4 linked regions of the Struthio camelus genome follow. The protein of the gene in region 3 interacts with the protein of the main gene of each other region in a biochemical or structural test. Links are inferred from orthologs where the notes say so. Each region holds a gene or a part of one and is shown on either strand. Other genes may lie near its edges.

The links. The genes of interacting proteins can lie anywhere in the genome.
Region 1: of the proteins of MAPK1 (region 3) and CACYBP, one has a biochemical effect on the other in vitro, tested with the Homo sapiens proteins (2 studies listed by BioGRID). The link is inferred for Struthio camelus from reciprocal best matches to the Homo sapiens genes MAPK1 and CACYBP.
Region 2: the proteins of MAPK1 (region 3) and PTPRR form a complex in vitro, tested with the Homo sapiens proteins (2 studies listed by BioGRID, with this or other methods). The link is inferred for Struthio camelus from reciprocal best matches to the Homo sapiens genes MAPK1 and PTPRR.
Region 4: of the proteins of MAPK1 (region 3) and SREBF2, one has a biochemical effect on the other in vitro, tested with the Homo sapiens proteins (2 studies listed by BioGRID). The link is inferred for Struthio camelus from reciprocal best matches to the Homo sapiens genes MAPK1 and SREBF2.

What each region holds. Positions count from the first base shown.
Region 1 is NC_090949.1:5,137,819-5,145,201, reverse strand, and holds the start of CACYBP (calcyclin-binding protein), read right to left. Parts: upstream 3,017-7,383; 5' UTR 2,848-3,016; coding exon 2,827-2,847; intron 1,762-2,826; coding exon 1,566-1,761; intron 1,100-1,565; coding exon 1,003-1,099; intron 391-1,002; coding exon 291-390; intron 1-290. UniProt on the Homo sapiens protein: May be involved in calcium-dependent ubiquitination and subsequent proteasomal degradation of target proteins. Probably serves as a molecular bridge in ubiquitin E3 complexes. Participates in the ubiquitin-mediated degradation of beta-catenin (CTNNB1).
Region 2 is NC_090942.1:41,388,873-41,396,829, forward strand, and holds the start of PTPRR (receptor-type tyrosine-protein phosphatase R), read right to left. Parts: upstream 3,017-7,957; 5' UTR 2,929-3,016; coding exon 2,868-2,928; intron 1-2,867. UniProt on the Homo sapiens protein: Sequesters mitogen-activated protein kinases (MAPKs) such as MAPK1, MAPK3 and MAPK14 in the cytoplasm in an inactive form.
Region 3 is NC_090958.1:10,423,945-10,430,767, reverse strand, and holds the start of MAPK1 (mitogen-activated protein kinase 1), read right to left. Parts: upstream 3,005-6,823; 5' UTR 2,700-3,004; coding exon 2,557-2,699; intron 1-2,556. UniProt on the Homo sapiens protein: Serine/threonine kinase which acts as an essential component of the MAP kinase signal transduction pathway. MAPK1/ERK2 and MAPK3/ERK1 are the 2 MAPKs which play an important role in the MAPK/ERK cascade.
Region 4 is NC_090942.1:56,592,888-56,600,568, forward strand, and holds the start of SREBF2 (sterol regulatory element-binding protein 2), read right to left. Parts: upstream 3,017-7,681; 5' UTR 2,891-3,016; coding exon 2,809-2,890; intron 1-2,808. Other genes in the region: CCDC134 (coiled-coil domain-containing protein 134), read right to left, coding at 5,309-5,434, 5,712-5,783, 6,071-6,252, 7,137-7,221, 7,530-7,651.

The DNA.
Region 1 (7,383 bases), on a different chromosome or scaffold from region 3:
TTCTGCTTAATTGTCACCAATTTCTGAAATCCTGTTCGAGAGCTATCAACAACGCTTCAGTATCTGGCCGCGATCTTTTGAAACAGAAGCCCAAGGATTCCAGAAAATAATTCTACAATTATTACAACTACAGATTAATGAGAGTCACGTTTACACTGAAGAGACTTTACAGACAGAAGGGAGGGACTGCAGGTTAATGCTCAATCTGTTGAACTGGAGTCAAGCTACGAATACAGAGATATTCAGATTCTTTACAAAGTACCTACAAGAGAAGAGGTATGCTGACTGACCTTTCTAGAGCTGCCTTCCACAGAGATGGGTTTCAGAAGGTTGTTGAAGGTCATGGTGTAGTTCTTCCCATTCAGATTCTTCACTAGCAGATCAAATGACCTAGAGCCAGAAGGTGAGGGGAGGAAAGGCACAAACAAAAATTCCAAGCAGTGTAAGACTATTCAGCCCTGTCATCAAACACAACGTCTGAAAACCATTAAGCAGGCACGTTTCTTGGGAAAGCAAGCCAACAGGCTTTCAAATCTTCTATTGGATTTAATACTGAGCACTTAAAAGGACTTATGCAGAGTTCACAACAAATCAAGATCTTTAGCATTCTAACATCTACCTGACTGAGCTCCTATGACCCTGGAAAGGAGGGAGGTTCATTTAATCCACATTTCAGTTCTACCACCATCAAAAAATAGGTCTAACGTAACATATGCTATCAAGCATGATGAGGCATAAGGAGCATTTGTAAAATTAAAATACTCTGACACCCACTAAGGAGAGCTATATGTAAGTGTATGTACTCAAGTACTATTAAAAGTTAATACTTTAATAAGCAATTAATTAATAAGCTGATACTTTTAATAAAATTAAAGTTAAAAAAATAAAAAAAACACGACACAGCAACCCAGAGCAAAATTCAACACAACACATTCCTGCATTTCAGATAATGCTCTACACCCACGCTCTCCTTCTTGGCATGGGGCAAAAATATGAACTCACCTCTCTGTGAAATTCACCTGCACATTCTCAGCTGGGAGCTTCTGGACTCCACTTAGAGAGATGTAAATCTTAATAAACTTATCTGACTGATCCCAACCTGCAAGTGAGAAAGATAAAGTTCTAGCTTTCCTCAGAAAAGTCAGAAGTAGATGCCTGGTTTTCCTGCCGTTTCCTTGACCCACTTTTTCTTATACTTTCCACGTGACAAGTACCTTAAGCAATTCCTTCTCCTTTTACCTACATGGCGAGCAGAGAAGCCAAAGCTCAGTCTTTCGTTCTTGCTAAGCACTAGGCAATAGAAAAATACTAGTAGGTGCATCGGGGATCATTAACGTGTTCCTCCAGTAAAGAAAAGCTATCAGACAAACAGAACTGTGGCTGGGACAGAGCAGTAAGCCTGTAAGTAAGTAGCTTTTTGGGGGGGGTCTGTGGTGTGGTATAAACATCTGAGAATGTTTCTCTGTAACGCTAAATGGCAACTAAGACTCACACTTAATACCACCCTGCATTCTATTCAAAACAGAAGCCTGAGCTCTAACGTTTGTGTAGAAGAGCAATCCTACCATAGTTGTTTATTTTCACTGTATACCCTCCCAGCGATGACTTTTCTTCTTCTCCTGCATCTGCTTTCAGCTTTGGTGGAGGCTGATTCTTGAGTTCTATCTCTAGCTTGTGTTTTTCAGTCATCAGGACATCACGAAGTCGCTTCCTCGTGGTTTTCGTAAGCAATTCTTTAACCTCTTCCAAATCTTTCTGTAACTGATTTAAGAATAAAAGATCGTGCACGCATATTAGATACCCCTCTTTCTACTCAGGGTTCACACCACTGGGCTCTTTCACTCCTATTAGTTTCAGACACAGATTCAGCAAACCAAGTTACACTTCCCTTTATACCCTCCTCAGCGTGAAACCATCTGTCCCTTACTCCACGGCCACTAAGGTTTTAACTGCTCAATTTCAATCTTCAAGCTTCGTTCAGTTAAAAAAAAGGGGAAATTAATAAAAGTTTAACGTTTGGAACACCAACAGGTTTTGGATTTTGCTAAAAACGTACTGCCCGATCTCAGACCTATAGCACTGAGCAAATATTCAGACGGAAGACTCAGAAAAAGGTCAAATGGGGGTAAACGTCTCTTATGCCCCAGATTACCAGCCACTGAGCCCTTGCAGCCACATAAATCAAAAGCAACATCTCACTGTACCTCATTAACCTACTTTCCCCCTCAAAATAAGATTCTCTATTCTAAGATCTAACAAATGTAGAACAATAGCATCAAAAGCACTGAAACTCTCAATGAGGGGAGACGACAAGAGGTTGCGCTTCCTTTTTAAGTGACCGATTTATTGTAGAATTGTACGATTCAAGGAAGGGGCAGACATACTCAACGTGATAAACATCTGATCCTCAGGGATTTCTGAAACACTAGCTTTGCTCAGGAGAGAGGAATATTACAATAAATAACCAGACCGGCACAGAAACGTGTTTTTTTTTTTTCTCCCTCCATGTTTGAAACTTCTCGCGTTTCTTTAACTTGAGAGCGCTCGAATTAATTGCACGTTGGCGCAATCGCAGCTCAACCGCAAAAGAGAGGCGCCCGGAACCCACCTGGCAGACACCTAAAGAAAAACAAGAGGTTCCGCGCATCCCCCCCCCCCACCCCCAAGGCTTCGGGAAAGAGGGGCAGCGCCAAAAAATTAAATAATTAAATAAATAAATAAGTAAATAAGGAGCCGCACAGTTGTGCTGAGCCCCGGCCCGGGCCCGGGGCCGCCCAACGCCGCTCGCGGCCCCTCAGCGCGACGCCCGCTCCCGCCGCCCCTCACCTCCTCGTGCGCGGCGGCCATGGCGCGGCGCGTGCCCGGCGCTGCTGCCCCCGCGGCGGCGGCGGCGGCTCCGGCTCCCACCGGCCCCTCTGGAACCTTCCCGGCCTCGCGCCGCCGCGTCCCCTCCCCCCGCCCCGCGCTCACGCGCCGGAAACGGCGTCACGCGCCCTCCCCCCCCCCCCACCGAGGCGGCCTCGCCAACCCCGCCCCTTCCGCCTGCGGAAGGAGAGGGGCGCGCCGCTGTCGGCCCCTGTCACTGGCGGACGGGCGTTGCTATGGTGACACGCCGACGCGTCAGGCGGCGGGGCGGGGCTGCGCGTGCGCCCCGTTGCGTGGGGGGAGGGGCGGGGCTGGCGCGGCCGTTACGCGGCCGTTAGCGACCGGCTGAGGGCGCGCCGCCCTGACGGCAGGAAGCGGGCGGTCAGGGCTCCGCCTGCCGCTGCTGCTGCCGCCTGGCGCTGCCGCCTGGCGCTGCGGCGCTGGGAGAGCCACCCTGGCGGTGGCTGGGGGCCGGGGAGGCAGCGATCTGAGAGGCGGGGCGGTCTCTGAGGAGGCTGGAGGCCGCGGCCGGTGGGCAGAGTTCGTGGCGGGCTGAACCGGCGGGCCGCGCTTCTCCGTGCGCCTTCGGCGGGCTGCCCGTACGCGTTGTGTGCCCGGCTGGGCAGGGCCTCGCCGAGTCTCTGTCTTGACATCAGGATTCCTCCCTTCCGTCTGTGTTTAGTGTAATTGGGAAACAGGACCGTAAACAGCCTGCCTAAATATGCTTTTTCTGAATATTGCAATCTTTTTTGTAACCCTGCGCTAGGTAAGGAAGTCTTTCATGTACGGAAAACAGCCACATGTGCTGGTGTGCCAGAATCTCTTTAAGTGCCAGTAAAGCTTTCAAGCTCCTGCCTGAAGTGCTTGCTGGGCTCTAATTGGCGTTGGTGAGCTTTTGTATTAAACACTGTTCTTTGGTTTGTCTTTTTTTTTGAGCAACGGTGCGCTCTTTTATAGCTGCGCTATGTTAGCTGTGGGCACATAAAAGGATCAGGCCAGTTAAACCGAGCCCCAGAGTGCTGTTTGCATAAAACATAAAAGCGTCAACAGGCAGGTCACCTCAATGCCAGCATGATGCCAACAGCAGCAGCTCGTCTCTCTCTCTTTGCCTTACCCGACTCAGGCCAATGTTTGGCAATGAGGTACTCTGAAAAGAAAGTAACCTAGAACGTATGCAGCCTTTGTAATAAGTGAACCTCATCAATTTACAGTGCACCAAAGGTTGGAAAGCTTGCGTGTTGTAAATGGCAGAGGTTGTCTTGTGCGTGTGTTTAGGAGTAAGGAGCTGACATAAACTGAGTCTGGAACTGCAATGCTTTGAATAGCTTTTTTTTTTTTTTTTTAGATGGTTGAGTTTTTTGTTAATAGTTAAGTCTTTCTTCTGGAAATACTATGCAGCTTTATGGTAAGGGTTTTCAAAAAGGAAATTACCAACTATGAATCCTTTTGTGATTTTTAGACTCATCTATAGCAAGCTACTTACATTCATGCTGAGTTTACAGAGTCAAAGATTATCAGTGATACAGAACCCCCTACCGCCAGGAAGTAGTAGTTGGAAGCCAGAAATTTTGTGGTGAGGGTTAGTGATTATATTCTCATTAAGAGGCATCAACAAGTTAGCAACCACTTCAATTGCAATATGGAGTCAATCATTGTGCCTTTAGAAAAGAGGTGAAATGACCTTCCTGAGTATTACAACCTCAGTTACAGTTGGTCCAGGGAGAAAGTATTTCATGGTGCCTCTCACCACCTTTAGTAAATCAATTAATAATTAAAAAAAAAAAAAAGGCTTTTGTATTCCCAGGTCCCAGTCGGGCATTAAAATTTCCCAGAAAAAAAGAAGCTGATGGAAATCTTTCTATAAGTAGGTAAGTGGAAGAGTCAACTTTTGCCTCCAAATGTCCTCATAAAAATGGGAACACAAAGGAGTATACAATCACTCAGTGCTGAAAAAGTAGATTTCTCTGTAAGAGAGGTTGCCGGTTTTAACATTTAATTTACTGAGCTGAGAAATGCCAGCTCACTCTCCAATTTATGGGCTTAGGGGTTTTTTTTCCTCTCCGCTTCTAAGGTAAACATAAATAATCTGTGAATGTTTTTTTTTTTTTTTTTTTGCAGGGGATTGGTGGGGGTAGGTAAGAGGATATTAGATCAGAGATTCATAGAAAATCTGAAGTTGAGGACTTGCAAGGCTGTATGTCACAATGCAATGTTAATAGCATATACTGAAATGTTGCTCATACCCCTCTGGTCCAGTGCTTCAAGAGCTGCAGCTGAGAAATTGTCAGGAAAAATCTCCACGACTAACTCTGTAGTTTTGTTTAATTTTCACAGAACTGAGCGTCATCCTGTAGATCTTTAGCAATAGCATTTGAAGTTGGGCTAGTGGATTTTTATCTGGAAATTACAGTATGGGCAATTGGAATTTACTTCCGTGGCATGGTTATTTAATTTGTTGAGAGCAGTTGCATATTCAGGAATTGTTTCCTTATGATCTTTCTGCTGAGCAGCCACTAAGACAAGAAGCAGCTTTTCTGTGATGTTTCCTGAACCACTAATCTCCGAGTTTTTCCCCTCTCAGTTGTGGTCTTGCATTAGGACATTCTCATAGCTTTAGAATTTAAATTGATATTGCTTTATAATTTAATTTCTGGATAGAGGAGAAAACATGACATGTTTCACCAATACATAAATGCATGTGCAAGTGAGCCTGTAATTCAGTCGCTTGCTAGGCTCTTTGAAAACCAGTGCTTATTTTGTATCCTTAAGTCACGAGCCTTTCAGTGCCCATGGCACTCCCATTGAGTGGCAGCTTACAAGCGGAAGAGTGTATCTCTTGTCTCATGTAAAAACACATTCCACACTGCTCTGCATGAAGCTGCAGTAGCATCCAGATGCTGCGTTCCCCCTTGTCGGAACGAAGAGAAAGCCTGACAAACTTAGTTTTCTGTGCACGTTTTTACAAGTTGCCAAGTGACAGGTCTTCCTCTCAGGAGAGAAGAATCGGAACAGTTCCTGAGCCAGGAAGGGGAAAAAGGACCTTGAGGCGGATTGGTGGGAATAGTCAAATTCAACCGAAAGACCCGGATCCAGTCTCTCTGGATGACAAAACACTGTGCAGTATATTGTTTTTCAATGGTCATTGGCTCTAGGGACAGAAAAGAGAGCATCTGGAAGGGCTACGAAAGGATGTTTGGCCTCCTTAGCTAGCCTGCAGTAGCCGTTCCTTTTGTCTGTAGGAACTGATGGAAACTGGTGGCAAACAGTCTTTGGACGGTGATGTGGAAGTTAATCAAAAGCAATATATTTTCTGGTAAACTAATTGGTTAAAAATATTTATCTTCAGCTTTTCTACCCTTATGGCTTCATATCTTCTTCTCAAGTGCTGTGTGTTTTTCCAGTTATGCAGGCAGCAGTGGCTGTTCGTCTAAATAGGAAAAAAAAAATCCCTGTAACAACTCTTATCTATTGTTCACATGGAAAACTGGTTTTATAAAGTATCTGAATTCTTCTAATTGCTAACTTTAATGAATACTGAACTTTTATTCTGTCCTGTTCTTGCCTAGCCATGCTTCTGTTATAAATATGTTTTCTGTTTCTTGCTGGTACCTTCTGCTCCCTGATTCTTCTCTTCCTCTAGACGTGTCATTGCTCGCTTGCCTGTTTCTCTTGTGTACCTCCACTGAAGCATCGGGTCCTTAAGAACAGCTCGTATTTCCCGATCTTTTAGATCAGCAGCCTTCAGGGGAAGCATATTGATCAGTATGTTCTCTGTGCTGTAAACTTCAGACTAACATTTGGAAAAGAGGACCCACGTGACCTATTAGCTCTCCCACATAATGTCTGTCAGATTCTTGTGGAACAGGTTGCTTCTTGTGAACAAGGACATTATACCAACAGTTTGAAATTAGCTTTGTAACACTCGCACGTTTTGGATGACTAGGCTGCTAAATCGCTGTGTTTTAGTACAGTAGTGCTGCTTGAAAATAACCAACTTGAGTAAACTATGTCTGAAGACCTGGTACAGTAGTTATTTATTACTACAGACACAGTCAAACTGTTTCTTAAGCAAGCGGCCTATGAAAATAAGCACCTTATACCCATTTTGTTTGCATTTCCATTTATTTTACAAGGCATCGTTCACACAATGATAACAAGGTACTGATCCAAACAATTCTGTAACAATTAAAAAAGTAAACATTTTTTGTGACCATGTACATTAAATTGCACTTTTAATAACAAGCATTACACTTATATGTCCATATTATACTTTATATAATACATAGATTTGTTGCACAAGAACTGGCAGTATTGGATTGTTCTCAGTTAAAGGTCTCACATCACCATGATTCTTTTTTTTTTTTTCCCCCCTAACCCTTTAGCAAAGTGTGTTTTTATGAACTAGGGACAGGCCCAGATAACAAACTTTGCCTGAATAACCCCAAACCCAGAAAAATATCATTGTGGATCACAGCTTTGAAGCTGGTCTTTATTTTCAGCATTGTGAAGTGAATCAAC
Region 2 (7,957 bases), on a different chromosome or scaffold from region 3:
GTCCTCTTGGGAGACGTTAATTTTTCATTGCAAGAACATGTATTAGATCATACCTACTAAAAAAAGAGTATAACCTGCACTGTCTGGCACTGTCTCATGCAATGCATATCAGAGGTCAAAGGCTCACACTGACCTGTAATCAGTCACTACATATTTAGGTCTTCATCCAACAGCAAGCTCTATATAGGTTGATTACTTCACCTGCTGCGCTCAGCAGACAGGCCTAAATCTGTTTTCAGCTATGCACATACAAGTGCCTTTGATTTCAGCAAGAGTTATACAGGTGTTCCAACAAGACAACTGGATTTAATTTTCTGTTATACAGCCATAACACTTTGTTGGAATCAAAGTCTAAATCAAAAAGGAACAGTTTTAGTCTGTTAAGCGCATGAAAATTCCCAATCTCTGTTTTTGACCAGAATATTTCCTTTTCTTTGCAAACATATGTTTGGCTACTGTAACACAACTGTAATATCGTTGTCTTTTCATAGCAAACCAGATTTCCAATATGATGAGCATTATCTTTCCATTACGAAGCATTACTTAAACACATTAGAGAATGAAGTCTTTTTGCTGCGGTATTAGTTCAAGTTAACACAGACCTACTTTTTTTTTTTTTTTTTAAATTTATCATCATCAATTGATATTAAGCGAGACGTTGTTAGTATCTGCTGATGGTTTCTTTAGCGTTCCCTTACATGAAAATACCTTCCCTTCTATGTGTTTTCAGCCTCAAAACAAAAATACTTATGAAAAGCCAAGTAGTTTCCACCACAGTGAAAAACAAATTGACAGCTGGGATGCAATTTGTGACCTACCACTAGTGGCAAATGGAATGCATTTTATGATTCCACAGGAGTCAGAGTTGCAAAATTACCATCAATAATTTATAAGTTTAGGCTATACATAAAAGATTCCCACAGTGATACTCTTTGAAAGACCAGATTCTCTACCTGCATCAGATGAAACAGAGAAATCCTAAAAGTTTAAGTTTGCTATGTTATTTCATCGTCACATCTTCAGTCACTCCCAACAATGGCAAGTTGTACGCAGCCCTGCCAAGAAGCAGCACAACTCTTGCTATAAGGGGAGCTATGCCCAATGTATAAAGGCTAAACTCTGCTCCTGTCCACCCTTCCTGTTGCTTTCTCTGAAATAATTATTTTCAAAGATCGCATGGGAAACAAAGTAACAGCATACAAACTTCTGCGCGATAATTTTCTCTATTTTTACCCATGATTACAGACATTTTCATAATAAAGGCTAAATTTTGTTTGTAAGCATTTCCATTCACTTAATAATAATAAAATGGTAGGGAAAGCAAATGGTTTCTTGGGTGGATATAAAACCAGTTCCATTAGTAGGATGGAAAGATGAAGCACATCTACACTGATGTGACGTCCACTATTAATAGAGGATAAATTGAGATCAGAAGGCATGTAAGCTGTATACTAATTTTGTACAGATGATTATTTTAATGCATGTTGTAAAGGAACAATCTAAAAGCAGCTAAAGGCTTTTATTAAAATGCATCACCAAACGCTCCTTATCTTTTAGTCGATAATCTCTCACACACACGAATATAAGGCATAATAGCATGAGTCTCCTACCTATGAACATGAAGCAAAGAGCTCCCGAGATCATAGCAAGCGTAGCCTAATTTTCCAGAGCAATAAAATACCACTAACCAAGGCAAACCATTTCTTTTGACTATAGCAAAAAAAGAATGTCAGGCTCCCTTACCTGAGGTATCCATATAAATAACTATTTTCATAACCTGATATCCACAGATTATTTATTCATGGGTATATACATACATGCATTACTTACAAGTCATAAGAGATATTAAGTATAAATATTACTTTTAATGATTCTGCGTAAGACAACACAAACAAGCAGCATCTAAAAAATCTCTCCTATTGTGGGAGATTTGTGGGAGCAAAAGAGTGATTATCTTGGGGTGCATTTTCTTTTTTTAATTAAACTTCAGCGAAGTTAGAGGCAGGGTGCAACAGCCATTTTCTACTTCAGAAATAGGTGTGCTGCAGTAAGCCATAAAACAAAGAAATACTCCAGTTTTTCTAGTGAACTTCATTTAATTACATTGCCAACCGAGATTTTTGTTTCAATTTCAGACTACAAATGTTTAGCTCTGCAGGGGAAATGGAAAGGGAGACTCTCAAAAATAAGCAGCTTCTCACGATTTAAGAGAAGCCCGAGGTTTTAAGCCAGAAATATAAGCGACGGTTCTGAGAACGAAACTGGCAGCTGAACTTCAGGGAGGCACTAAGGCGCTCGCCGCCTTTCTGAATGAGGCACACGTTTTGCTCGCAAAGCAGAGACAGGATTTATTATCACCGCTCCGCGGCTGCAGCCAAGACGCCTACTGTCGCAGCTGAAATTTTCCCTACCTAAAAAAACCTGCTTCCAAGATCAAATATAAGTAGCATCACGCCCCTCCACTCCAAAAAAAAAAGAGGGGGGGGAGGAGGAAAAAAAAATTTACAGAGAAGGACAAACGCGTACGATTTTCACTTCCACCGCGCACCCCCCCCCGGCTAAACCCACGCGACTCGCGCGGGTACCGGCCGCCGCCGCCGGGCCCCGGCTGCTGCCCGCGGTGCTGAAAAGCTCCGGCGCCCCGCGCGCTCCCTCCGCGGGCCGCCGGGCGCCGGCAGCCGTTAAACCCCCGCGCGCGCGCTCCGGGCAACGGTCGCCCGCCGCGACCCCGCCGCGCCGCCCCCGCCCCGCCACAACAGGTGCGCCGCAGCCCGCCGGGCGCCAGCGGCTCCTCGCCGGCGCGTGCTCCGGCCGCTGGGCAGGCGGGCTGCCGCGCCGCGCCGGGGCCACAGCCGCCCCCTGCTCACCTGCGGCGCGGAGGTGGAGCAGGAGGCACAGCGCGCGGAGGCACGCGGCCGCCCGCCGCATGGTGCGAGCCGAGCCGAGCCGAGCCGAGCCGAGCCGAGCCGAGCAGCGCCACACCAGCGCGTCCCGCTCCCCCCTCTGCCAGTGAGCATGCCTGGGAACGGGCTGCGCATGCGCGGCGCCGGGCGGGTGGGCGGGAGGCGGGGAGGGCGGTTGAGCGGGCGGTTGGCCTCACGTGCCTCCTCGGCGCGGCGTGAGGCGAGGGGCAGCCCGGGCAGGGGGAAGCGGCCGTGGCTGGAGTGGGGTCAACATCCCCCCCCCTCTTCCGCCTCGGGAGTTGGGGTTGCGGAAGGAGCGTGGAGAGCTGAAGTATGCGGAGCTGAAAGGCGAAGGGAGAGACCTCCAGTTCCTCCCAGCTCCCCACAGGGGCAGGAGGCGAAGGCGAGGGGAGCGGCCTCTCCCTCAGCGCCCGAGCGAAGCAGCCGGCAGGGCTCTCTGCTGCAGCGGAGCGGTGGTGTTGCCTCTCCCAGATATTAAAGCCTTTATGAGGTTTGTCTCAAAAGATTTGACGTGTCTGGGAGGACTGTGATAGTGCCTATTTTTATGTATGCAGTGAAAGCGAGCTTCCCTTTCAATGCGTTGTGGAACCCCACCTAAAAGAAGCAGAAAGCCTGTGTGATGGAAATCACGGCTGATAGGAAAATAAAATGACATTTACTTGAGATCTGCTGAACTCTAGGCAGCGATTCAAACCGGATTGATGCCGCACGTATCCACTTACAAATTTGATTATGTGGACATCAGTGACCCAAATAAAGATTCCAAACTTAAAGCAGCCCTGCAGCCAGATTATTTTCTAGAGTTGTGTTTAATTGATCAAAAGAGTTACCAGAGGCTAACTTTGAAAGGAAGTAGCAGATGTGTCACCCTGCAAGTGAGCTGTCTCCAGACTAAAGCTGGATATGACAAACCATATATGCCTACAATCGGTTGTGCAACTAAAGTGATCTTAAGTAGAAAAGAATAAAAGAGAGTAACAGAGCTTGCTCTCTTTTAAGTGGCTTTAAATGACCCTTGCCGCAGAATTTTTCTTCATTATAATGGTGCGAAGAGCTGCGTAGGGCCTAATTTCTAGTTGCAATTGCATGTGTGGTTGAGCATATGCAAATAATCTTCCTTTGCCAGCCCCCACACTGCTGTTCACTATGTACAGGCAGCTAGGTCATTGGCTTGACAACAACATAAGCCACAAAAAGCTTGGGTTGGAAAACAGTGCTCAGTCTTGAGCTCTGCCCCAAATTGAGAATTCGGCTGATCAAGGGTATTGTTGAGGAAGAAGTGGTACGTGAGCCCTATCACCTCAGTAGTATCTTTTGCAGGTATCGTGCCTTGGATGCCCTGCTAGGTGACAGGATCTCTTCTGCTTTGTGTACTGAGATGGTAATTTACTATGGATGTATACAAATTGCAGCACATCCTGATCCAGTTTAATCCTGCTAGATCTGATTAGTAGAAATGAAAACTTAAAAGTGAAGTCTATCCATTCTGTACATCTTATTCATGTCCCCACAACTCCAGTTCCTATGTGCCTGTGCCTCAGAGGTATACATAAGTAATGACCTATACTTACTTCTCTGAGTAAGCTGTGCAGCACAAATTCCAATTTAGCCAACTCCTAGGCTAACTCCTAGGAAAAGACAAAAGAAAAATTTACTAACAGTCCTCTAATGTTTTGTTGTTGGTCAGAAATCATCACCCTTCTGTTTTCTAGGCAAGGACATAGGGTCAAATACAGGATAACTCTGCTGAAGCTAATGGAATTAATTTGTCCCCATGTGGTTACAGATGAGGCAGCTGTGGTTTTGTATGATTGAGCACTGTAGCAATATCTACTCACCTCACTTGTGGTGCCCAAAGGCACAATGACCAGATAACTTACCACCACTCTGTCAGAAAATTGTTTTCCACTGGGGAAATGCTTTTAGATGGGGTTTTGAGCCCATATCCAAGATAAGATTTAGGCTCCTAACTCTAGCTGAATTCAATGAGAAGCTAAGACTCTAAATCATTTGTTGGGTTTTGAATCAGTGCATCATCTTTAAAAGGTAGGGGGTAAAGAAAGGTCTCATCAATGCAAAATGAAAGCATAACTGTGGAGTGGGAAGCTGCTACACAGAAAGTGAGCTAACACATGTTGCATCAGCTTGAATTCTCTAGCTTCAGTGATTTTTTTTCTAAATATAGAACATGGTATTAGCAGAGTGGAGATCACTAGTGTGTGGCTTACTCTCTAAGTCTAGACTGACTCTTCAGCTGAGTGCTGGCTTTACCAATATTTATCAGTGAGGTTAATGATATGGGAGTTATTTTCTTTTAACATTTTTTTCCACAGTATCTTCTTCTCTTCTGATGTGGCAGGTTGAGTATGCTGCTGAGAAGTCTCATTTGATAGCAGTTACAATTAAGAGAGAACGTTCCAAATGTTAGAGCTCTTAGTGGTGTTCTCACCTGCCATGCTAGAAAGACTGTCTTCCATGGCTGGGAATCATTTTCCACTAGACTTCAGTTGACAAAATGCTTTAAGACAAAGCGAAACAATGAAAGGCAAATGAAAAGGGGTCTTCATTTCAATAGTGCAGTGATATACGTATTAGCCAACAGAAAAAAATATCTAGAGAAGAGAGAAACACACTTTTGCCTAAGATAAATGAAACAGATGCACACATCTGTTTGCCATTGATGAGTTTCAGCAGAAAACTGAAGCACTGGGTAGGAATAAGAGAAAGCGGACTGGAGGAGGAGGGCATATAGAGAAGGTGATATGCATAAATCGAAGGACTAGGTCTAGAGCTATACAATATTGCTAGGATGGGAAGAGGGGTTCTTTTAATACAATGCAAACAGGTAACAGCTGCAGGAGAAGTGTCGAGGAGTACCTTGTGTCCTAAGAGATTGCCTGTGGGCAAAATCATTATTGTACCAATGTAAATGCATCATATTCCTTAATGAGTATTGTCATTATAGGGTTACAGCACTTGTAAAGTGGTCTGAGACTCTCCAGTGTATTTTTGACAGAATCTCTAATATAGGCATGGAAAAGAATGACGCTGACTTAGCCGAAACACAATACAAACTTTGACAGCAAAAGAGAGAGAGGATGCAAGGATATTTTATTCTCTCAGCAGACTCATTTATGGCTATGTATGTTTATCTGAAACTTCAAGACTGTTACCAGATTTTGGCAAGACCATGTTATAATTTTTATGTCAGTTTTTTTCTAATGATGTTAACTGTAGCTTGACGGGCAACAATTTGCTGCTGTTGGTGAGGCAGGTTGGAAAGAATCAAATGAGTTAAGGTGCCTGACCAAAAGCTGCCTGCTAAAGATATAAAGCAGTTGACTGTTCATCCCCAGAATGAACAGCTAAGGTATTGACTGAGACCTGTAAGGGGCTGAGGCAGCCCAAACTGGTAATGAGGACAGCACGAGTACTAACAAATGCATTTAGCTATACTGATTACTCCACTTCTTTCAGTCAGTTTAATTCATACATGTAATTGCTAGCGAGGTTACATTATTTTCTTTTGCTGTGAAGTTATATACCTCTGGGTCACCTGCTTTCCACTACAGTGCCCGAAAGCTGTGGTATTCTACAGTATCTCCAGGAGTTCTCAAAGCTGCAGATAGGGAGGGGAAACAAAGCTGGCAATTCAAATGCTGGTTATGGTCTTCTCTGTGCCTTCCACATGAAGGAGGAGAGGAATAAATGTGACATGGAGCTGCTTATTCCTACCAGGGTGATAGTAGTTTGTTTCAGCAACTTGTATTTACTGGTGAAATGTTTTTAAATAGCTTTGAAAAAATAAGGATGGCTGTTTATCTTCTTGCCCGTGGCTAAGGACAGGTCTTTTAGCACTGTTTTCATTTAAAGCCTCATTGTGCAAATGTGCCAGAAATGTTAGCTTTGCTTTCTGCTGTGGTGCATTAGCTGTTCCATTGTTTTGCCTGAAAGTGGGACATGTAGGCACAGGTCAAAGTGTTCAAAATACAGGTGTGGGATTCACCTCACCTAACTTGAGGCATTTACAATGTAGGTAACTTCCTCTGAGGTAGTCATGCTGACCTCCCTTTGTAGTCAAAAGAGAGAAACAGGCACTTCTAGAGCAAACTTCATCTGACCTGTTTTAGACGTCTACCTCGGGATGAATCATGCCCCAAAATGCCTATTTTTCTCCATTGACTGTAAAGGAAGATTAAGATCATTAGCTCACATATATTTGCTCAAGTAGCTCTTACACTCTCTTGCAAAGTTGGTCACCCTGAGAGTGTTTCTGTATTACTGATAAAAGAAATCTGTGTTTTAAAATTGATGTTAAACAACCCTTCACAAGGACAGAATCAACAAATCTGTTAGCAGACTGTCCAAGCATTTTTGGCTCTCTCTCCAGGTCCATTCATAGCAGCTAGCTGGAACAGCAAGTGGCAGCTCCAATTGATGTAGCCTAGATTGCAATTCACCAGCTAGATTATGAATATTTTTGTTGCATTTCCTCTAATTTCCATTTCTTCTCTCTTCTATGCTCTCCATACCAGAGCGCAGTAAAGATATCTTCCTGCAGTGTTCTACCAGGGACATCAGGATTCATAAACTCAGGTCCTGCAGTTACAATACTGACAGAAAAGATATAAATTAAAATTTCAGACTATCCTTTTACTCAAGTCTAGGAATACATCTCTTGAACTATACCTATTGTATATTCATTTATTTTATGTCAGAGTAATTTAATATGATAAACCTTTCTCCTAAAATAGAAGTGAAAAAACGTTTGTGTGTGTGCGCATTTATATACATTTAAATATGGAATGAGGGTTACTTGTTACTAATAACTACACAATACATCTCTAAATGAAGCAGTTATGCTTGAGATTTAAAGTAAATTGCACAGAACAATTTAACTCTAGACTCAAGCCTCCCAGCATAAGAGTAGCTTTGGTTTTGCATGGAAATAATATTAATCATGAGCTTCTGTCTCAAGTGAGTCCAACTTCAGGCAACTCTGAAATAGCCTAAAGATGCTAGCATTAGGGTAA
Region 3 (6,823 bases):
CCTCTGAAGTTGCATGCATTAGCTGGGGGTCTAAAAAACCAAAAACATCAGAGCTTGCTTTGTTTTCCTTCATTAAAGTGTACAGATTTAAATGGATTTTGCAGCTGCAGGGAATATCTCCATCTTTACTCTCATAGCTTGCCCTCTAATCACCTCACAAGGGAGAGGCTTCTGCAGATCCTCACTGCATTAACAATCAAAGCAAGACATGAAACATTTAGTATTAATCTACATAACCTATACCTCCATTGATTAATAAGTAATCTTATTTAATCGTAGCAGCTCATCTGCTGTGCACTACAAAACATTACATTTGCTATGGCATTTAGCTAGAACATGTGCAATCCAATACTTACCAAGTATACAATACAAACTGAGACTTTGTTCCCTGTCATTTCACACCCAAGGCAGAAGAGCAATGATTAATTAACAGCTCAACATATCAAATCTAGTATTTCACATGAATAACTTTAGAGGGAAAAAACTCAGGAGCCAAATGTGTATGTCTCTATTTTTGTTAATAACTGTGTACAGCAATCATACTAGAGAAAAAAAAAAAAAGAAAGAAAAAAAAAGCGAAAAAATATAAGAAAATCCACAACACTAGAATGAGCTATTAAATAAAAAATAACATTACATAGCCAGTCTTGGAGATAGAACTTAATAAAATATTAAGTAATAGAACTTAATGACACACCATTGGATGGGGGGGAAGGGGCCATATTTTCCCTATATCTGCTCACCAACCTAGTGATGCCGAAAAAGGGCATCAACTGCCAACATACTGCTTCTTGTAATCTTTGATCATTGGTGAAACATTTTAGCTTTAACACAACATCTGTGTTACCATTTTTAACATCCCATTGATATGAGCGGGACTATACACACATCTTGGAAGTACTATTCCAAATCAGACTGCATGCGTAAACCAGCGCAGTCAATAATGAGATTATGTGCACTGGCTTAGTTGTCCCAGCACAGATGATTTGCACCACAGTAAAATATGGTTTGTACCATAAGCTACATTAATGTCAGTTTTAGAGTGGATATATTGCTGTGATCTATAACACTAAAATGATAACAGGGGTATTTTTACACCATAAACAGGATTTTTGATTTTCATTTTGAAGGTTCTTCCCCCAGCTAAAAAAGTGAAGGCCACAATTCAAAACTTAAATACAGGCATATCTCCCAGCTAAATTCAGGCCTAAATGAAAGCTTCCATTCTGAAATACAAGATGACTTCATTTTAATAAGCCAGCACAATCCATCACAGCTGTAAAATCTGTAACATACACTTGGATGTTGTGAAGAGCCTTCACCGATAAGTGTACTAGTTTATACTATAAAAGATTAAACATCAGAGAGAGACATTATCGCTAATATAGCTTTCACCAAGTCATAACCTGTAAACTTCATTTAGTACTTCTGGTCAAATCTGAACATGAAACAGAAGCAGCATTGGAAAAAAGTTGATAAAATAACAAAAAATAGTTTTATTTTTGAAACAAGGGATTCAAATTAAGTCACTTTATCCTGTTTTGCTAATGGTAAAAAACAGAATAAGAATTGTAACTAAGGTCACAAAGTACGTCAGTTTTATAACCCAGTCACTAGGTATACCACCTCAGAGCATCATCTTGACTCAGCCCACCACATGCAGGCTGCTAAAAGAAAACCCATCTCACACTCTAAATCCAGGTAGCTTACATTTTAGGCATTTTATAGTTCACTGGTTAGGTTTTTAAGAGTGATACTAACCAAAGCAAATGTGTACTACTGCTTTCTAGTGAGGCTTACCACCAGTCTTCATGATATAAAATAATCAAGAACTGGAAGAGCTGAAGAGAACTTTCATCTCTCATATATGTTAATTTAGACAATAATCTGGCAGGCTGTGCAACAGTCAACAAACACATCCAAAGAAAAGGCAGATAGGGACAGCAATTCGTATACACAGATTCACTTTTTCTGTTTATCAACCATGACCCTAGGAACATGCAGCACAGGCACAAAGGAAAAAACAGAGCTGTTAGCATGATGTTATGACCTTCTCCCCTTTTTCAGTGTCTATAATATAACTGTAAGGAGAGAAAAAAGAAAGGGAAAAAGCAACTTGAGAAGCAGGAGGAAAAAAAAATTAAAAATAACGAGCACACGACAGAAAGGAAACGAGACGCGTAGCTGCACCCCACGGTGCAGGAATTTTGGCGGGGGGGGGGGCGGGAAGAGGCGACGGCAGCCGAGGGTTGGCGGCCGGGGAGGGGACGGGCGATGCCGGAGGGACAACCTCGGCAGCGCGAAGGGGAAAGCGGGGATGAGGAAAGAGGCAAGGATGCTGGAGGCCTAGCTTCCCCTCCCCCGAGGGCCAGGCACGGGCCGCTGCCCCCCGCAAGGGCGGGACGCAGCCCGCGGCCGAGCCCCCGGGGAGGCTGCGGCCGGGCAGGGCGGCGGGGCGGAGGGAGGAAGGCAGGCAGGCAGGGAGGGAGGCAGGCAGGGAGGGAGCTGTGCAGGGCAAGGGCGCTGGCCCGGCGGGGCGCGGCGGCCGGCACTCACCACACCATGCCGTAGGCCCCCTCGCCGATGTAGGAGAGGTTGGTGTAGCGCGGCCCCACGTCGAACACTTGGCCCCGCACCATCTCCGGGCCCCCGGCGTTGGCAGCGCCACCCGCAGCCCCGGCCCCCGACACCGCCGCCATGTTGTCCGTGCCGGGAACCGCGGTGACTGCGTGCGGGGGGGGGGGGGGGGGGCGGGGGGAAGGAAGGCGGGGTGAGGAGGAAAGAGGGGGGCGAGGAAAGAGATGCGGGGAGGGGGGGGTGGAGGGAAGTAAAAGAGGCGTCGCCGGCTCCGCCGCGCTCCGGAGCACCGGCCGCCGGCTCCGAGCCCCCGTCAGCGCCGCCGCCGCTGTGAGGAGACGCTGCCGGGCGCGCGCGCGCACCCACAGCGCCCGGGGGGAGGGGAGGGGAGGGGAGGAGGGAGGGGGAGCTCGCGCGCGCGCGGGGGTGGGGCGGGGCCAGGAGGCGCCCCGGGGGGGCGGGGCAGGAGGAGGGGCGGGGCCCAGGCACTGCGGTAACGGCCGCCGCCGCAGCCGCGGGGGGAGGGGCGGGGTCACGTGGTGGGCGTGCCGGCTCTGCGGGAGCCGCGCGGCCGCCCGGCGCCATTAGAGGCGTCAGGTGGCGGCGGCGGCCCGGGAAATGGCACCCGGCCGCCCTCGGACGGGGCCGGCTGGGCCGGGCCGGGTCCGCGGGGCGCCCCGTTGAGGCCCAGGCTCGGCGGCGCCCGGGCTGTCGGGGCGAGCCGAGGGCCGTCAGCGCCGGGCCGGGCCGGCGGCCTCGCTGCTGGCTGACGGACGGCCCGGAGGAAACGCGGGGCGGAAGCCTGGGGCCGAGGCCTGCGCTCCCTGCGGCCCTTGCAGCCGGGCTCTGTTTTCTTCAGCTCCCTGTGACAACGCTGCCCCCCGCGCAGCAGTCAGCTGCGGGCGGAGAGGGGGTTTCTCTTGCGTTTAAGGTGCTGATCTGAGGCCCAACAGGCCCTGCTCTGTCCTTGGCTCTGCCGCAAGCCCCTGATGTCACGCAGGGCAAGGTTAACATCCTGCCAGAGAGCTGGGTTACTGGAGGGAGGGCAAGTTTATTTCTAACGCTTTCTGACTTTTCAGGGCTTAGTTTTGCAACCTCTAATTAGCATATGGTTTTTACATGCAATTATATTTTCCCATTACTTGTTTCCCCTATGAATGTAAATAAACTCGAGGTTTTGAGCAGGAGGTGAAGATTTAATTTGTTATAGTTTGTATCATGCCATGATTGTCGCTTGCAACAATATCCATTTTTCCTGTTTTCCTGCAAGGCTCCCTCTTCCTGCCATGTTCTTTAGGTTCACCAAAAACATCAAGAGTCTTTGCTTCTGAATTTTTTTCTGCAATTCTGTAAACACTATACTTACATTCCATGTTTTTTTAAGGCAAAAAATTGTACTTGCTACTTAATTTTTCACTATTATTGGCATGGTTTTAGATAGTCTCTCCTGTTCCTTTGAAAATGCATTAATCACATACAGATCTCCATATATCTCATCACACTAGTGTGTCCATGTTCATGCCCATCCTACCCTGTCGAAAGACCCCAATGTGAAATCAGCTCATTACCCCTGACTCATGCTTTTCTTAAAAGTCGCTGTTAATTTTGTGTTCTTCTTTAACCAGAAGGTGTTACGTGCCGATCAAGTTCCTGTCAGGGTCTCACTGGTTGTGCTCTGCCCTCTTTCTTCTCTCAACGTTTCTCGCAGCTCTGCCGCTGCTCTCTCTAGACTTCTGTTGACATTTCTACTGCCGACCGTGCTGCTTCATGTCTCTCTCTCTGCCTTCGGGGTGTGCGATCCCCGTCTTGCTTCTCCCCACTGCCCGAGTCCAGCTGCAAGTCGGACTGCCAGAGGCTCTTTTCTTGCATCCCACCTTCTGTCACTCCTTGCTGCAAACCAGCTTCCATCACCATGACCAAACAATTGCAGTCTTCTGTAGCTGGTTACAAATATTGTACAACCTCCTGATTACGACTTATTAGCATCCCCCAAAGCTTCGGCAGAAGTCAAAAGGAAAGAGTTATCAGTTTAAACTGAGCAGTGGCTTAGCCTAGCTGCAGCCTAAGGACTCTCCTTTGGCATGGACCTACCCAGCAGGCTTCAGGGTTTCAGATGCAGCCCCAGCATGTTTGGTGGAGTGAAAGCTATCCTGGATGACCAACGTAATCTAATGAAAAAAAAAAAATCCATCTTCTATTTATCACACATTAAATCATATGGCTTGGTTTTTGTGTATCGATGTGGGATAGTTAAAATTACTTGTTATGGCTTTATTTTTCCTTGTATATAATACTCTTTCCTTTCCATAATGTGCTTTTTTTTTCACTTTGGAAACCCACATTATTTTTCTGAGAAATTGCAGACAGCAGTAGAGGTGAATAAATGTTTAAATTTTCTGAAACTGTGTAAGTAAAATATGATTTTAAAGGTTCTTCTCTTAACTCTAAAAATGAAATTATGCTTACAGTTCTGATTACATACATAAATAAATGTCATCAGCAAAGGCAAAACAAATGATTATAGAGAAGCTAGCTTAAACACAACCTGTCATAGCAAAATTTAATTAAAAACTGGTGTATATCTAGATTATTTTCCACCTTCACCAGGATGTGTCAGATCAAAAAGGAAACCAACCAGCAGACCAGGAAATTGTGGAAAGACTGTCAACTGCTTTGAGTGCTGTGTTCAAATATATGTCTAATCCAATTAAACCCAAATAAGCGGTCAAAAGGCTATGGCATGCTTTGCCAACAGTTCCTCTTGTGACAGAACCTAGTTGTATGTAGTTCCAGGTAGCAATACAGTTGTTGAGTTAGACAGACCAGATAGAAATGGTAGCAACTGCTTTTCAGCCTTTATAAATACACAGCTATTACCTACACTTTATGCTGGGTCTTTCCCTCACACGGTGACAAGGTGACATTACAGCCTTGGTTCTGCAAGGAATGTAAATATGTTTTAAGCACATGATTAGTTCCATGATCAGAATAAAGGGTTATGTTGTGGGGAGAGGTGATACTTACTGTAAAATGATTGCAGATAACAAAAAGCAGGTGAAAAAAATGTCTCCATGCCTCAAGCAGAAATAAAACCACTGCTAAGAAGAGCTGTCCAAACAGAAGTGCAGTATCTTCAGTTTGAAAGCTGTATGAGGAACCAGCCAAGCTATAAAATAGGTCAGTTTACATGTGCGACAGTTTGGACTATCTATCTCCATCATGATATCAAGTTCAGGAGTCACTTGGATGAGTTCATTGTACAGTTAGGGTCTAGAGATTCTCTGTACTGTTACAAATATCTACTTTAACTGTTAACTTTGTGGTCTGTAAATAGTTCTCTTGAAAAGTAAATGTCATGCTATGAAAGACCCTATGAGTCCTGGAAACAGCGTGATCAGATATAGGCAAAGAACAGGAATGATACGTAGGTGCCCTAGAGCGTCACTCTTTCCTGAGGGTGGGAGGGTTTTCCATTTTTTTTGTGCTGATTTAGAACTAAAGCTACCTCTCCTAAAACCATCATCACTGCAATCGTCACGCTGTTTGTGTAGGGGCAGTCCAGACAGCGCTTTCGTGGTCCCTGCTGTCGGGTTATGGCATTCACTTTCCGAGAGCCTCGGAATGACCCTGAACCCTCTCATCCTCCAAAGAAAATGCAAATATTATGTGTGTAAAACGATTTTCCCAGCATTATTTAAAAAGACCTCAAGCCTCTGTGTGGGGGTGAAGACAGAGAGAGAGACGTAAGACATGGAAGATGTTGTATAAAGACATATTTTAACTTCTGTGTCACTCAGGAACCATGGTGATGAACGTGACAAAAACTTAAATTACTTAGATATGAGAGCTCTGATCCACAGGGAACCATCCTAAGACTGATAAAGAGCATCAGATACTAATAACTCGTAGTCACTACCGACCTGGGCTTGATTTAACTGGTGACATACAGCTAAAATCCCTTGTGACTGATTTTCATTTAAATGTTGGCCACTGCTTTGACAGTGTAAAGTGACCTCAGTACAAATGAGAATCTCTCTGTAATCTTATGCTGTTGGGAAGTTAAAAACATCCTCCTGTTGGAGGTACGGGAGGGAAAAAAGGCGATTAGGGCATTATTCAGTCTTTCACAGGTAGTTAACAAAACAAGGCCCAAATCACTGGTCAGTTGATGACAAAGCTAACTTACAGGGTTTTTCCCAGTGTTTCCCCCTCCCTTTCCCCCCATCCAGCATTCTGACTAACTTTG
Region 4 (7,681 bases), on a different chromosome or scaffold from region 3:
AGAACCCAATCTCTCTCTCTCTCTCTCTCTGAGAACTCCTTTGCCAACACAAAGAACAGGGCAAACATAAATAAACTATTAGGATGTTTGTGTGCTTTTGGAGGATAGCCCTCAGGCATCAATTTGGTGATAAACCCATCATTTTCAGATTAGCTGCACCCTCTGTGCTGAAGGTCTCAGTCACTACAGAGGAACAAGATATTGCTGCAGAAAACAATACCGAGCAAACACAGAGCTAGAAAATATCCACAAGATATCGTCAAAGTCAGTCCACCTATGACTTCTACTTCTTCCAGATCAGTGTCCAAGTACCTTATAGAAAAGTACAGTGCTTAAGCTACAGCTTCAGTACAGCTACTACGTATTGCACGCACCACCCTCCTAGAAGGTTGCTAGGTGTTTGTGAGCATAGGCTGCTTTTCAGAGAAACTCAAAGAGTAGCAGATTAAGCTACAGACAGAGTTGAAAAGATACTTTGACATGAATGTAAAAAACCAAAATCTAAAAAACAAAAACGTACTTTTTAACCATGACCAAATTAAACTCCCTAGGGTAAGGAAATGCAAAGATTACATCACGGATCATCTGGTTCTCAAAGGTCTTTTTCCACTAGTGCGGTTTTTGTAGCCAACACAGCAGTCAGACTGCAGTACTACGAAGTTCGGGAAGAAAGTTACATTTGAACACCATGCAGAGTTAGGTTATTGTTCAGTTATTGGAACTTCTGACCAAAAGCTGTGTTCACCCACTTGAAGCCCTGGACTGATTTCACACCCGATCTGGGAACCTGACTTTACAAAGAATTAACTTCCTAGAGCAGTCAAGGCCATTCACTAATCAGGGTCATTCACCCTTTAATTTCTTCCAAGTCCAGACTTAAAATAAAAAGCTGTACAGCAAGCTGTGAGGATCATTCAGACCCAAAATTGAGAGGACTGCTGAGATTTAGGCAGCAAACAAGAAGTAAAAAAAAACAAAAATACCCCCCACACACAAACCAAAACCCTTGCAGAATTTTAAATCCTGAGATGAGTTCACATCAAAATAAAAAAACCAGGACTCTATTATATCATCTCTCCAGGAAAATCCACTCCATTCTGAGTAAGGTAAAAGACCTTCTCCTTTCTCACCGAGTTCCACATTCCTGAACCACATTTCACTGAGAAAACACCAACAGCTCAGAAGACCTGGCTCAAAGCTCATTAGAACTTGCCTCAGCTTCCATGCAGACCTATAGAAGACATTATTTTGCAGACAACAATAAACATCATCTTTAATTCGCATCATGAACTTTATCAGTGATAATCAAGCCCCTTGCATTTTCCTAAGACAGATGCTTGTTTTACATATTACGGAGAAAAGAAACTGCCTCCAATGGCTACCAATTGCCCTGCAAATCAATTGCAATCAAACTTAAAAGCACCAGTTCAGTTCTGTCTTCCACCTATTAAACAAGGACGCTTTAGATACACACACACACCCCCCTCAAAGTAGACCTTTGTTTAGGATTACTGTTCAGCAAAGTCAAAAAAGATATTCAACAAAGCAAGTCAGAGCAGTGAATTTTCTTATTTCTGCTGAGGACCTGTTTTAATTTTCAGTCTAGATCAGATAATTAGTCCAACTATAGTTTTTACAGGTTTCCAGGAGCTGTTCAAGAAAAAAAAAAATAATAATAATATAATTCATTCTAGCTTTGTACTTCAGCGGAAAAAACATTTCTTCTCATTTATCTGACGTCTGGCGTAAACGTTAAAGCAATTTATGATGACATAAGGAACAAAAGGAAAATTTAACAGTTACATCCGTTTCATTTTTAGAATAAAGACGTGGAACAACCTCCTCTGAAAGGAGCTAGCGGCAGCACAATTCCATCCATTCTTTATAACAGACTTCAAACCAACCAGTGGAAAAAAAAAAAAAACCCAAAACGGACAACACAGCACCGTTTGCTGGATAGACTCGGGATGGAAAAAGGAAATGGAAAGGCAATTAACTTTTTGTTCCCCCCCCCCCTCAAATCCTTGATCATTTTAACAGCCAAAAGCTCCGAGTTCGAAGAAGCGCGCAGCAGCTGTCCAACTCCGACAGGTGTGCGTGCCCTCCAGCTGGGCCGCCAGCCTTGCGCCTTCCACCCCTGCTACCCTCTAACATCGCTTTTTTTTTTTTTATTTATTTTTTATTTTTACGACCGCGGTTATTGCCGTAACATCCCAGTACCACCCCGAGTGACTCAGTCTTGGTAAAAAGTCCTTGCCCAACAGGACTGGCCATCAGCTCGCCGGGCCCCGACGGACCACACCACCGAGGGCGATCCCCCCGCGGCGGGTTTCCAGCCGCAGCCAGGGAGCAGCGGCGGCGATGCCACCCGCGGGACGCGCTCCCCACGCGGGGAGAGCCGGAGCCACCCAGCAGCGGCCACTACGGCGCCACCCGCGTCGCTCTGCGCTGCGGGGGTGGGTGGGGGGGGGCGGACACCTCGCGGGCAGCCCCACTCGGGATCCCCCTCCCACGGCGGCTCCGGGGCAGCGCTCCCCCGCACCGAGCGCCTCCCCCTACGCCCCACGCGCCGTCACACGAGGACCGAGCAAGGCCGCACCCCCTCCCCACGCAGCTCTGCCTCCCGTGGCAGGCCCACGGACACCTCTTCCTCCCCCCGCGCGCCCTCGCACCCCCCGCTCGGGGCTGCCCCACGCGCCTCTCCACCCGCCGGGCGCGGCTCGCCGCCTCGCCACGGGGGCCAGGGAAGCTCCCCCCCCCTCCCCCTCGCTCCCCAACGGTCACAACGGCCCCCGCCGTCCCTCTCACCGTCGATGTCACCCAGCGTGAGCTCGTCGCCCAGCTCAGTCAGCGCCTCCATGTTCTCCGCGCCCAGCTCGCCGCTCTCCATCGCGCACGGGCCCGCCCCGCCCCGGCAGGCCGCACCAGGGCATGAACCGCCGCCGCCGCCGCTCAAGCCCGGGTTCCCGGCGAGCGCCGCCGACCCCGCGCCATCTTGGGCCGCCCACGGCCCGCCGGCCCCGCCCCCCACCTGCCCGCAGCTCCAGCCGCCGCTACGGCGGCGGCGGCAGCGGCGGCGGCGTCGCGCGCGCGCGCGCCTCCCGCGGTTTGTTGTCAATGAGACCAGGTCGCCCCTGACCAATCGGCGGGCGCGGCGGCGCGTGGTGTGATGGCGCGTCACCGATCAGCAGCTGCGATTAGCATAGCAGACCCCGCCCCCGCCTCCCCCTCCCCCTGCATTAGAATATTCATGAGGTGGGGGCGTGGCCGGCGGCGCGGGCGGGCTGCGCAGCGCCGAGCACCGCGCCGGTGGGTGGCGGGGGCGCTGCCCGCCGCAGGGCCCAGCCCGCACGGCGGTGCGAGGGAGGGAGGGAAGGAGGGAGGCTTCTTCCTGCCTCGGGGCTCCCTCCTCCTCACCCCCGAGGAGCGGCCATCGCGTGCCTTGAAGCCGCGTCGCACAACTAGGGTGGCCCCAGCCCCCTCCCAAGCGCCTCGCAGGGCCGGGTGGCAGGTGGCGACCAGCGCTGGATAAATCCGCCCCCGCGCGCCGCTGGACACGGGACAGTCCAGCAGGACGGGACCTCAGAGGTCTCTGCTCCAAGCAAGGCCCACTTTGGAGTTACACCAGGTTGCAAAAATTGCAGCAGGGAGGAATAACCAACTGGGTGGTTGCTGAAGGACCCCCGGCCCCGCACACCCCCGCATCCTTGCCATGTCCAGCAGCCTTTCCTCTCCCCCTGCCCGTTCACCGGGAGCCTCGACCAAGAGGGAGCTGCGGGCATGCGGCACCCTAGGGGGAAAATACATGATTTTGCAAGCTGAGGTGTTGCAGCAGCGCAGAGCCGCTCACGGCGCCTGTCGCTCCGCGGGCTCTCCGCGCCGTGACCCAACCGCTGGAGCCCGGAGAGAAAGCGATGGAGGAAATTAGCAGCTAACCTGCTCAGATGCTTTTGAAAAATCGTATTTAGGTGCAACTGCAGGCACCTAAATATCCTTGAACATCTCTCCCTGGGAGCCTAAAGGAGATTGCGAGATGGTGAGGAAGAGCGGCTCGGACCTGTTACAAAGCTGGCATGAAATCAGATGAAGGGGGAGAAACATTAGATTGAAAGCAGCAGTAAGTTTTGGAGGAAGGGGTTTTATTAAAAGGTGCTCCGATTTCCCAGGTAACCGGCTGGGAGAGTTGGCCTCATCCTTTTAGTATCTCCTCACTTAGGCACCTTCTAAAATAGCCAAAGCTACGGCCCGGAGACGCCCTTGGGCACGCGCCCCTTTTTGGGAGCGCTCCCACTGGGAACGCAATCAACACGCAGGCTTCTTTAAAAAAAAAAAAAAATCAGATTTATTCAAGAAAAACAAAACACTTCCCATCTCAACGCAAGTTCCCAACGCCCCCGTCGAACGTACCCGTCTCCGTATTTAAAAATAAAGGACGTTTCCCACCACTGGCCCCGTCAAGTCGCCCGAAGGCAGCTTGGGCGGCGTGGGAAAGCGCCGGTCCCGGGCAGGCGGGGGCCGACCGGCCGGCTCCAGCTCCTCCGGCACCGCCGACGCGCACCGAGGGAGCCGGGGGGAAGAGCTCCCTCCTCCCAGAGCCGCCCCCGGCCCCTCGCAGCAGGGGCGGCCCTGACCCCCCCCCCCCCAGCAGCGGGGTAGGTAGCGTTTGGATGGTGGGATTTTTTTTTTTTTTTTTTTGGAAAAGACTTCTGCAATCCAAAATACGGAGGGGGAGGGAAAAAAAAATCGGGTGGAAGGGGAAATTCGGCAACCCTGGCCGCTTCCACAACCAAGCCCCGTTGCGGTGCCAGGGAAAGGAGGGCGGAGAGGCCACGTCCGTCCCCGCGAGCGCCGCTTAATTCCCAATTTCCCTCCCGCCGTCCCCATCAGGAAACCCCTCCATTAGCCGCTCAGGGAAAACGGGGGCCGCGGCCCGGCCGGGAAAAAGGCTCTTTTGGCCTTTTTCAGCCGCCAGGGACGACAGGCGGGCGGCTGAGCCAAAGGGCGGCCAGGAGACGGGGAGATCCGGTGCATCGGCCGGGCAGAGATCGGGTATAACCGGGCTGGGGCGCAGGGAGCGGAAACATCACCGATTTAAAAAAAAAAAAAAAAAAAGAGGAAAAAAACCTCACAGAAGCAGCGTTGCCCACGAGGCCCCTTCGCTCCCGCCGCGAGCTCCCCGGCCCCCCCATCCCCTCGCCGCGGCAGGCCCGTTTCACGCCCCCGCGCCCCGGCTGGAGGGGAAGTTGGCGGAGGGGAAGGGGACGGGACGCCGCCAGGGGGTCCCCGCCGCCGGGGCCGGGGCCCGGCCCTACAAGTCGGACTGCGAGCGCGAGATGCGCGGGCCCTTGCGGATCTCCTTCCGCTTCTCCTCCTTCTTCCGCCGCTTCTCCTCCTCTCGCAGTGCCTTCTGCAAGGTGTCCGCGCTGGGGAAGAACTGAGCCGGGGAGGGGGGGGGAAATCACGGCGTCAGCCAGGAGGAGCAAGCCCCGAGGCCCCGCGGCCCCCGCCGCAGGAGCGGAGAGAGGAGGGCACGGTTTTGTACCCGCCAGCAGCTGGCACCAGCCTGGCCAGAGACGGGACTCCCTCCTCCGCTTCCCTTCCCAGCCACGCGCTCGGCCGTTCCCCTTCCCTCTCCCCCCCCAAACCTCCTCTTTCCCCACGGCACGAGGTGGTGGAGGAGGAGGAGAACCGCGGCCGCTTTGCCGTCTTACCTCGGAGTGGTCGGTTTTGAAGGGGTTGCGGTAATCGGGAGATTTCTCGCTGATTCCCAGCTCCTGAGCCATCTGCAGAGCAAAGCAAGGGCCGCGCGGCGGATGGCGGCGTCGCTCGTCGCCCGCCGCGTCCTTGCCTCCCCCCCCCCCCACCCCGAGCCTTCCCTCCTTTCTGGGCCCCTTCGCTCTCCCTCCAGCCCAAAGATGTCCCTCAGGCAGGGGAGACGCTCTCCAGCCCGGCAGGCACGGGAAGAGGCGAACGCTCCCTCTGCTTGCTCTCCCTTTACCCTCGCGCCCGTGCCCACGCTTTGCCCCCCCGGCAGCGGAGACGGGATACGACGGGCGAGACTCGGCCTTACCAGCCCCAGGACCTGGGAGTGGGGTCCCTGCTCAAACACCCCCGTCAGGTTGCAGAAACCAATCCCCCAGCGGATGAGGTTGTTCCAGTTGGAGTTGCGGTCGAAGTAGTGGTGCACGATCTTGGGGAAGCGCAGGACGACGTCCCCGAAGAAGGCCGTGTTCTCCACCACGTGGGAGTACGCTGCGGAGGAGAGCCACCCGGCCCTGTCGGCAGGCCGGCCCCACGCACTGCCCCGCTCCCGCCAGCCACGGTCCCCTCCCCAACCGCCAGGGCCCCCCACGCGTGGCCGGAGCACAGGGACGGGAGGAGAGGCTGCTTCCAAAGGACGCGGTGAGACTTCCCCTTCCACGTCCCGCCGCCTGCGGTTACGGACGCGCCGTGCGCCCAGCCCAGCCTCCTCGGGGGCTGACGTCCCATGATGGCTCCTGGCCCTCAGCAGCGGGGACGGGGCAGTTCCAGCTGAGGCTGGCTGGGGGAAGTCGAGGTTGGCTGCTGAGGTTGGATGTGGAGCAGATCCCGACAGCAGAGATCAGGGACGGGAGAGCTCACACAGGCTACAAAGCACCACATCAGCTCGGTGCCACTTGGGAAACGAGAGCAGGAAAGTCTAGAGACGGCTGCAACAGGCAGTGCCTTTGCCCTGTCCTAGCTGGGCAGCATGTTCTCCAGGGGCTTTGCAGGATCTACGTTTAAATCTCTGTTGTGATGAGGCCTCCTCTCCCCATATCCTTTGGGAGACTGCTGAACAAAGGCCTCCCCAGTGAAACTCAAATTCATTCAGAGTCATTTGCCCCTACCTCATCCTGGGAGCATCTAAATCCTAGTGGCAAAGATGGAGAGGCAGGGGGTAAATGGGCAGGATCCCCAGTATGAACTGGTCAGCGAGACCGTAATGGCTCCCCGATAGAAAACACCACAGGGACCAGTGGAAGATCCCCGTAGGGATCTCTGTAGGCAGCCCCAGGGATTTCATAGCTACCCTGGCACTGATCCCACACGAAAAGACAGAGATGCAACATAGCAATGGAAAAAGGAACGGGGGCAGAAGACCAGAGATGACCTACCATCTTTTAGCTTCTCGTCCTGAGGAAAAGGCCCATCTGGCGGCACATCTGCAGCTATTAGCACGGCCCGGGAGTCCTCCAGCACCTGAAAGGCTCTTGGTTACTGCCCATCCCGCCTGCCCTCCCCCCTTGCCCATCCTTGCCCCAACCTGGCCCTGCTCCCCTCTGTCCAAGGGCAGCCTTCAGGGGACCCCCTACTGCTGCAGCAGCCTACTCTGCCCCTCAGCTCGTCTCTTCAGCCCCACAGAGGCTCCCTGCTGCCGTTGCTTCTCCTGCTCGCCCTCCCCAGCGTCCCGGCCTGGGTGCAGCACCCAGCTCAGGGGCGAAGGGAGGGAGTGGGCAGCTCGCGCCAGAGCATGCCGAGCCCGGAGGAGAGCCTGCCCCGCGCCTCACCTTGAAGAGTCCCTTGAGCATGATGTCGATGATTTTGTACTGCTGGTTCACGTCGTTGAGCTCGATGAGGTTCTTCAGCGCGTTCATCTGGTCCTTGCGCTTCACCTCAAACAGCTTCTTATCTGCACCACCGTCAAGGGCACCGCAGAGCT